Linked DNA regions of Callithrix jacchus. The protein of the gene in region 1 purifies or fractionates together with the protein of each later gene. This does not show direct contact. Links are inferred from orthologs where the notes say so. Each region holds a gene or a part of one and is shown in the gene's direction. Other genes may lie near its edges.

Region 1 (4,326 bases):
ATTATGTGGTTTTACTGTGCCTTTCTTACCAGGCCATAAGTTACTCTGGCCCCAAAGGACACTCCTCTGAGTGTGCTTTCTGCCAGACCAACTTATCATGAATAGAGGGCCAGAGAACAGTCAGCTTCATCTTAGGAGCTATTCCTCTATAAAAAAGCCTCACCCAAGACACAAGTGGTGTCAGTAGTCTGAGAGCAGAAGCCAGCCAGCCTTGGGGCTACCATCTGCCCCAGGCTCCCATCCTAAGCACAGTCCCCCAGTGGGCACATGGGAGTGGGCAGGGAAGACACAGAAAAGGGAGCAAGGCAGCATCTGGGTCAAGGAGGGGCCTTCCTGGGTCAAGCTAGGGAAGGGCATCACAGGTTAACGCAGAACCCCCATTATCAGTGCTTGGGTTAAGAGTTACCCAGTGGCAAATTTATCAAAAGTCTGCGTGATGAGTTGGTCCTTCTCAATTAAGTGACCATGTTTCCTTCTCCCAAGTGGTGTTCTGCTTCACCCCGGTACCATTTCCTCATCTTTTTGCATGTCCCCAACCCCCTTTCTTGATTTAACCAGCCCCCACTGTCCCGACCAGAGTGAAAGCGAAAGCGCTTTAGAGCAGCTTCCCCTTGACGCTTCTAGCTAAGAGTCAAAGCACCCCCCTTTCCACCAGCCTTGCGTGCCTTCAGGGACACCCTAGACGACCCCCCTCAGAATAGAAATACGCTATGCTCATTATGCGTTGCAACCGCTGGCTGCTAGAGACTACCACCCTATTCTCAGGTCAGTCTCTGCAGTCACTTCTCCGCGCTTCCCGGCCGCTGCACCTCCTCCACCCCTCTGCCAACCCTCAAGCCCAGACCCATTACCCCGGTGTGGACTTCTCCTGCCCAGGGTAAGTCCCCAGTTGGCGCTCCAACCCGCAGCATCCCTGCCAGGCACCTCGCGCTCGTCGCCGCCTGGGGCACTAGTTTCGGACCTGGGACAGCGCGCAGCGCGCAGCCGGCAGCCCCGCCCCCCGCGGCACCGCCAGGAGGCGCTTGGGTGCCGCGGAGCGGCTTAGCGCCCGGCGCTAACCTGTGTAGGCTGGATCTGCCCGGAGACAAGTGACGAGTCAGCCCCGCCCTGAGGCTGGGTGGGAAAACTGGTACTAGTGGAGAGGCAGGAGGCAGGGAGAAGCGGGAGCGGTGTGCGTGATGGAGAAAATTGGGCACCAGTGCTGCTCCCCAGATTCTCAGATTTGATTTCCACGCTTGCTCCCAAAATAATCTGGGCAGGCCACTTTTGGAAGTGCGCGTATCTAGTGGGCAGACTGCCGCTTTCGATTTCGCTTTCCCCTAAATGGCTGCGCTTCTCGCCAGCACCGATCAGTCGGTTCTGGGACTTTCCGAGAGCCCCGCCCTCGCTCTGTCCCTCAACCGCCGGTAGGGGCGGACTCAGCGGTACCCAGAGACTCCCGCCCAACCGGAGCGAGGAGAGTTTCAGGTCCGGCCCGGACCCGGACGGCGTCAGCGTGCCCATGGCTAGTTCTAGGTGTCCCGCTCCCCGCGGGCGCCCCTGCCTTTTCGGAGCTTCTGTCGCGTGGTGGGGGACAGTGCTGCTGCTTCTCGCCGACGGGGTGTTGCTCCGGACCTCGCTGCCCTGCATATTCTCCCTGCTGGTGCCCGCGACGCTGCCGCTGCTCCGGGTCTGGGCGGTGGGCCTGAGCCGTTGGGCCATGCTGTGGCTGGGGGCCCGCGGGGTCCTCAGGGCAACAGTTGGCTCCAAGAGCGAAAATGCAGGTGCCCAGGGCTGGCTGGCGGCTTTGGAGCCTTTGGCTGCGGCACTGGGCTTGGCCCTGCCGGGACTTGCCTCGTTCCGAGAGCTGGTTTCGTGGGGAGCCCCCGGAGCCGCGGATAGCACCAGGCTACTGCATTGGGGAAGTCACCCCAGCGCCTTCGTCGTCAGCTACGCGGCGGCACTGCCCGCAGCCGCCCTGTGGCACAAGCTTGGGGGCCTCTGGGTGCCCGGCAGTCAGGGAGGCTCTGGAGACCCTGTGCGTCGGCTTCTAGGTTTCCTGGGCCCGGAGATGCGCCGCCTCTCGCTGTTCCTGGTCCTGGTGGTCCTATCCTCTATTGGTAAGGGGAACGCAGGGCGCGAGGGGGCGACACAAGGGGACCGGGCAGGAAACTAAGGTAATTGTCAGTGAGGTAGAGTAGCGTGGGTTCTGGGAAATGTGCAGCAGGGGAAGAAGTCCTAGCGTGGGTCTTGGAAGACCACTTCAGTGTAGAAGAAACGTCATTGAACTGGAGGGAGTCAGGAGTTCTGGGCTCCGTTGCTGGCCGGGTCTTGATTCTCTGGGCCACGGCGGGGGCGGGGAAGTTCTTTGCCCTGGGGCAGAGGGGCCGGGCATCCTCATCTTTAACAGGAGGCTTTTCTGCTTCATGATCTCCAGCCTTCCTAATGAAATCCTGAAAGTTCTGGGAGGCCAACCACAGGGTAGTGAGTTCCAGGGCAGCCTATTTAGGTTCGGGATTGAGATGTCAGTGTTTCCTTTCTTCTAATGCCCTCTAGGATAATGGTGAGGGGGAGGAGGCGTGGTGGGGCCAGTCTGACTGGAACTGACCTGTCTAGACAATATTTGTGCGCGACCTCTCTTCTTTTTCCCCAGGGGAGATGGCCATTCCATTCTTCACGGGCCGCCTCACTGACTGGATTCTACAAAAAGGCTCAGTGGATACCTTCACTCGAAACATAACTCTTATGTCCATTCTCACCATAGCCAGGTCTGGGGGTTGAAAATGGCTCTCACTCTGCAAAAGAGGGAGTTGGAATTTGGGGCTGCTGTCCAAAACGCACTTACATGGGGATACCTGGGACCTTCAGTCTGTTCCCTGAACACACCGTGACCCCCTTTTTCCGGGCTCTTTCTAGTGCAGTGCTGGAGTTCGTGGGTGACGGGATCTATAACAGCACCATGGGCCGCGTTCACAGCCACTTGCAGGGAGAGGTGTTTGGAGCTGTCCTGCGCCAGGAGACAGAGTTTTTCCAACAGAACCAAACAGGTTTCTCATGAAACTCTTTCATTATACACCATGTACTATTTATATCATACATCTGCTTTGATCTCCCACCTCCCTCCTCTCTCTCTCTGACACGCATACGCGCACGCGCGCACACACACACACACACACACACACACTGTTCTTTCTCATTCTTGATATACCTCAGGAGCAAAATATTGTTGTCCTTACTTTGAGAAAAGCCTAGAGTTTTCATCAAGGATTTTCTCATAAGTCTGTTCCTATGTATCCTTAGATAGAAACCATAGAATTTCAAACCCAGAAATTTTGAGCTTATAGAGACCAACTGCCTCATCTGACAGAGAAGGAAACTGAGGCTGAGACCCTAAATGCTGAAACCGCACAGTTACATGTGGCTAGAGACACACCTGGGGTCTCTTGATTCCCAGTGAGGGCTCCACAGACTGGCATGCTTCCTAGCAGCACCCTCCTCCTCCATTTCTGTTATGTGACCAGTTTAAGCTCTTCCTACCTGTGTGTATAGCATGGGACATACAGGTTCTTTAGGGAACAGAATGCTTTCAGGAAAATGGAAATTCACATGTGCATCAATGTCTTTATAATAAAAATTAAGGTCTTGGGTCAGGCCTTTCCTCTCTAACACTCATCCTCCCTGCACTGAGATTTGCAGAACCCCTAGCCGTGTTTCCTACAGCCTCCTTAGAACCCCCTGTTGACGCCCCTCACCTTGGTACCCTGGCTCATTGTTAGTTCCTCTCCTCACTTGGAACCTGTCTGATTCGCCTCACTCTCTTCTCCCAACCCTGCAGGTACCATCGCGTCTCGGGTAACAGAGGACACATCCACCCTGAGTGGGTCTCTGAGTGGGAATCTGAGCTCACTTCTGTGGTACCTGGTGCGAGGCATGTGTCTCTTGGGGATCATGCTCTGGGAGTCAGTGCCCCTCACCATGGTCACCCTGGTGGCCCTGCCTCTGCTTTTCCTTCTGCCCAAGAAGCTGGGAAAATGGTACCAGGTATGTTCATGGAGTTGGCCCGCTCTAAACAGACCCTCATCTCCCAGAGTTGGTAGACTCAGTGCCTCTAATATTGCTCTCAGTCCAACTTTCCTGGTGCGCTTACTGATTCTCCATCTTCACGGAGCGCCCTGTCCCTGTGATCCATGTTCCCAGGTTGCTCAACATTACTCTCTATGCTCTCTAGGTCTTCCTTTCTAGCACAGTCTCTATTTAAGAATTTGATCCCCAACCTGTTCTGAGTCATTTTCCTCTTCCTTGTATTTCTTTAGTATCCAAGGGGCATAGCTGTGCCTCTTTCTCTTC
Region 2 (4,599 bases), about 430 kb from region 1:
GAGCAGGTCAACTTCTGTGAGTCCTCCAATGACTTTGGCCCCTATGAGGGTGGGGGTCCTGGAGCAGGTCTTGATGACTCAGGGGGGCCAACTCCCTCTTCCTATGCCCCCTCCCACGCTCCTCGACCGCTCCTTCCCTTGGACATGCAGGGCAACCAGATCCTGGTCTTCCCATCGTCTTCATCCTCCTCACAGGCTCCTGGCCAACCACCAGGGAACCAAGTAGAACACGGGGCAGTGACCCTGGGGGGCACGTCCGTGGGAGGCCTGGGGGTCCCTGGTAGCGCTGGTGGGGTTCCTGGAGGGACTGGTAGTGGGGATGGGAATAAGATCTTTCTGTGCCATTGTGGGAAGGCCTTCTCCCACAAGAGCATGCGGGACCGGCACGTGAACATGCACCTCAATCTGCGGCCCTTTGACTGCCCCGTGTGCAACAAAAAGTTCAAGATGAAGCACCATCTGACTGAGCACATGAAGACGCACACAGGTCTCAAGCCCTATGAGTGCGGTGTCTGCGCCAAGAAGTTCATGTGGCGGGACAGCTTCATGCGCCACCGAGGACACTGTGAGCGCCGGCACCGCCTGGGTGGCGGCGGGGCTGGACCTGGGCCTGGGACGCCCACGGGGCCAACCTTGCCGGCCAAGAGAGAATCCCCCGGAACAGGTGGGGGCAGCGGCGACGAGGCGAGTGCGGCCACGCCCCCGTCCAGCAGACGAGTGTGGTCCCCACCCAGCGTCCACAAGGTGGAGATGGGCTTCAGTGGAGGCGGAGGAGCAAACTGAAGGGGCAGCCTACTGGGGTGGGGGTAGCTTTTGGGGAAGAGGGAATAAGCACGATCCAACGGCGGTTTGGCCCCCAGTGGGTCTCCCACCACAATTACTGTCTTCCTTTATCTCTATGGACTTGTATATATGCTGGGAAGGGGAACCGCAGTTGCACCATCGCCCGCCCATTCTACTCCTCAACCCCTTCCTCCCAAGGAATTTCTGGAACTAAGCCCTTCCTTTCCCTCTTATGGGTACACTGAAGCCCCGGCTCCACAGAGTAGGGTGCACATGGAGGGAGGGAGAGGGGGCGTGTTGTGCATCCTGCAGTCACAGGGTCAAGGGTCAGGTGGTTGTAGTCTGTGCCTGAAGTCTGTGTTTGTGTTGTCTTGGGACCAGGCCTTTGAGCCCCACCCTTGTCCTAAAACCTACCCCATCTCAAGGATGCGCTCTTTATTCTACCCTGTCTCTCCCCACCCACCCCACCTCCCGGGGAAATCCCCAACTCGGTTCTCTTAGAGGAGTGGGTGGAGACAAGGAGGGAGTAAGTAGTAGGAGTACAAGGTTTTTATTTTTTTTAACAGTGATTAAAATATTTATTGGTCATTTACTTGGCTTCCCGACAACCCATGTGTTTGCTGGGGACGCGGCACAGGTGGAGAAAACCCGGAGTAATGGTTCTCGGGAAAGTGGATGCTGGAGGGCGCACACAGGAGTGGGTGGGGGGTGCTGGGTTTGGGGAGGGCTGAAACTCGTGGCTGCTGGGTGGTCCAGGAGGGCAAGGCTGGGGTGTCCTGACGATAACTGGAGAGGCTCTTCCCGGATCCCTCCCTGGCCAGCAGGGAAATACCGGTCTCCCAGGCACCCACACCTAACCAGAGCGGGGATTTCCACCGCCCCTCCTGCCGTCCTTTGGAGGAAAGTGAAAGTGAAAGGAGGAAGAGGAGGCTTCATGGCTGAGGAGATCGCAGCGCCATGAAGTCCCTGTCTCTGGTCCTTGCTATAGCTTTGGGTGAGCGAACCCCGCGACTCATCGCCCAAGAACTAGAGGGAAGCGGAGGGAGGTGGCCCCACTGGCGCCGACGCCAGAGTGGGAGTGGGCAGGTCACCAGACATCTAAGCCGCCCCTGACTTGCGCCCCTATATGCCAGGCCTGGCGACCGCCGTCTCGGCAGGACCGGCGGCGATCGAGTGTTGGCTCGTGGAGGATGCGAGCGGAAAGGGCCTGGCCAAGAGACCTGCTGCACTGCTGTTGCGCCAGGGGACTGGGGGACCGCCGCCCCGGCCGGACCTCGACCCTGAGCTCTACCTCAATGTGCACGGTGAGTCTTTAGGGACTCGCCGCTCCCCTATGTCTGTCACCTCCACAGAAACCCCCTCCTCTTTAGATCGGGCAGTGACTTCGGGGCCTCAGCTTCCCCTCTATAAAGTGAGTCTCACTATGGGGTAGTCTGTACATTTGAAGTTCCGCGAACCCTGTCCTTCCAGCCCCTTTCCCGCCCTTGACTCTACAGCTGCAACTTCCTTCTCTACACTCAGACCCCGCGGGCGCCCTCCAGGCTGCCTTCAGGCGGTATCCCCGGGGCGCCCCCGCGCCACACTGCGAGATGAGCCGCTTTGTCCCTCTCCCTGCCTCTGCGAACTGGGCCAGCGGCCTGACCCCGGAACAGAACTGCCCGCGGGCCCTGGATGGGGCTTGGCTGATGGTCAGCATGTCCAGCCCAGTCCTCAGCCTCTCCAGCCTTTTGCGACCACAACCAGAGCCTCAGCAGGAGCCTGTTCTCATCACCATGGCAACAGGTACGGGAGGGGAGGTGGAGAAGGATGGGTAGATTCTAAGGGTCCAGATCAGCCGGTGGACTCGTTTTATGTACTTGAGCCAGACATTTCGCCAATCGGGGTTCCGTTTCCTTTTTTAGTTAAGAGAGATGGCTTGGCTAGAATCAATCAATCTCTACTGCTCCTTCTAGCCCTCACTCAGTTAAAACAACAACAACAACAACAACAAAAAACTGCGACTGGGAGGGGAGGAGGTTACTTTGTTTCGAAGGGCGGGGCTTTGGAAAGGTGGGGTTTCTCTACACCAGACCTTGAGAGACTTGTCAGGTGATGCGAGGTGGGAGGAGTCCAGAAGCAGGAGCGTTTTTTTCTCTGCTCCTCCCAGATCTGTATCTTGCTAGGCACCCTCCGCTTTGAGGTTCACTCCATTTCGAAAACCGTAGCCCCACCTTCTCCCACACCCGGCGCTGCGGCAATCCTCAAAGCAAAGGCTCTTGCACTCTAGCGCTTGGACCTTCCCTGACAGCCGCTTGTGGGGATGTGCTGCCTCTCTGTGGTCCGAAAACAAGTGGGCTGGAGTGGGCGGAGCGAGGCGGCGGGAGATCAGATGGTTCCTATTGCATTAAAGGGTGCATTGCACTTTGAGGCCCAGGGGTCGGATGCTTTGCTGGACTGGGTCGCGGGAGGGAGTGTGCAGATAATTCAAGAATGAGGAGGATCCGGGTCAGATCCTCCTCATTCTTGAATTATCTGCACATTCCCTCCGGTGTCCCTGAACTCTCTCTCCTGGCAGCAGAGGCAGGAGTAGAATACAGGTAGAGTTCTTAACTTTTCTATCTGGATTTTATGTAAGCAACACAGCCTGATGGACAGGTAAACCCCAACCAAGCCCTGCACCCTCCCTCCTCTCCACCCTCCTCTCTGAGAATGACCCACAGAACCAGGGAGACAGACTCGAACCCCACACTGAAACCCTCACCTTTGCCTATACCTCCATTCTTAGTTTTAAGCCCCAACCCTGGCAGAAATTGAGGAACACCGCTCTTGTGTAGACAGGCGCTCTCTGGGGTCAGGGCTTGGGGGAGAAATATTTCCTAGGGCTACCGGCTTCATGGAGGTGATGATAAGAATGTTCTTTGCTTTCTGAGTTTGTTTTTCCAACTGTAAAATGTAGGTACTATTTCCCAGCTGCCTTTCTTGTTGTGACTATCAAGAGAGGCACTGTGGCCGGGCGCGGTGGCTCACGCCTGTAATCCCAGCACTTTGGAAGGCTGAGGTGGGTGGATCACAAGGTCAGGAGTTCAAGACCAGCCTGGCCAAAATGGTGAAACCCCCATCTCTATAAAAAAAAAAAAAAAAAAAAAAAAAGGCACTGTGTTAATTTATTCATTGATTCAATAAATACTTATTAGCACCAAGAATGAGTTAGGACTCAGTAGTTCTCAGTGCAGGCTGCAAATAAGAATCACATTGGGGCTGGGTGCGGTGGTTGACATCTGTAATCCCAGCACTTTGGGAGGCTGAGGCAGGTCGATTACCTGAGATTGGGAGTTTGAGACCAGCTTGGCCAACATGGTGAAACCCAATGGGTTTTTCTACTGAAAATACAAAAATTAGCCAGGCACAGTGGCATGTGCATATAGTCCCAGCTACTTGGGAGACTGAGGCAGGAGAATCACTTGAACCTGGGAGGCGGAGGTTGCAGTGAGCCAAGATCCACTGCACTCCATCCTGGGCAACAGAGTGAGACTCCGTTTCAAAAAGAAAAAAAAAGAAAAATCCTGCTGGAAGTTTCTAAAATATACTGAAACCTGAGTCAATCCATGTTTGGCTCGACCGATTAAATCAGAATCTCTGGGATGGCCTTGGGTACTCTTCAGGGTCACAAAGATGATCTGATGTAGATTCTGCTCTCCAGGAAGTTCAGGGCAGATTTGCCACAGATAGTCTTTTTTTTTTTTTTTTTTTGAGGCGGAGTTTCGCTCTTGTTACCCAGGCTGGAGTGCAAAGGCATGATTGCGGCTCATCGCAACCTCCGCCCCCTGGGTTCAGGCA

What was found.
Region 2: the proteins of TAP1 (region 1) and TAPBP purify together in Homo sapiens (co-immunoprecipitation; 6 studies listed by BioGRID and IntAct, with this or other methods). This does not show direct contact. The link is inferred for Callithrix jacchus from reciprocal best matches to the Homo sapiens genes TAP1 and TAPBP.

What each region holds. Positions count from the first base shown.
Region 1 is NC_133505.1:41,119,874-41,124,199, reverse strand, and holds the start of TAP1 (antigen peptide transporter 1), read left to right. Parts: upstream 1-1,458; 5' UTR 1,459-1,501; coding exon 1,502-2,099; intron 2,100-2,632; coding exon 2,633-2,747; intron 2,748-2,895; coding exon 2,896-3,026; intron 3,027-3,814; coding exon 3,815-4,020; intron 4,021-4,326. Other genes in the region: PSMB9 (proteasome subunit beta type-9), read right to left, coding at 852-911. UniProt on the Homo sapiens protein: ABC transporter associated with antigen processing. In complex with TAP2 mediates unidirectional translocation of peptide antigens from cytosol to endoplasmic reticulum (ER) for loading onto MHC class I (MHCI) molecules.
Region 2 is NC_133505.1:41,554,064-41,558,662, reverse strand, and holds the start of TAPBP (tapasin), read left to right. Parts: upstream 1-1,702; 5' UTR 1,703-1,740; coding exon 1,741-1,777; exon of another isoform or gene 1,778-1,916; coding exon 1,917-2,087; exon of another isoform or gene 2,088-2,304; coding exon 2,305-2,565; exon of another isoform or gene 2,566-3,158; intron 3,159-4,599. Other genes in the region: ZBTB22 (zinc finger and BTB domain-containing protein 22), read left to right, coding at 1-783. UniProt on the Homo sapiens protein: Involved in the association of MHC class I with transporter associated with antigen processing (TAP) and in the assembly of MHC class I with peptide (peptide loading).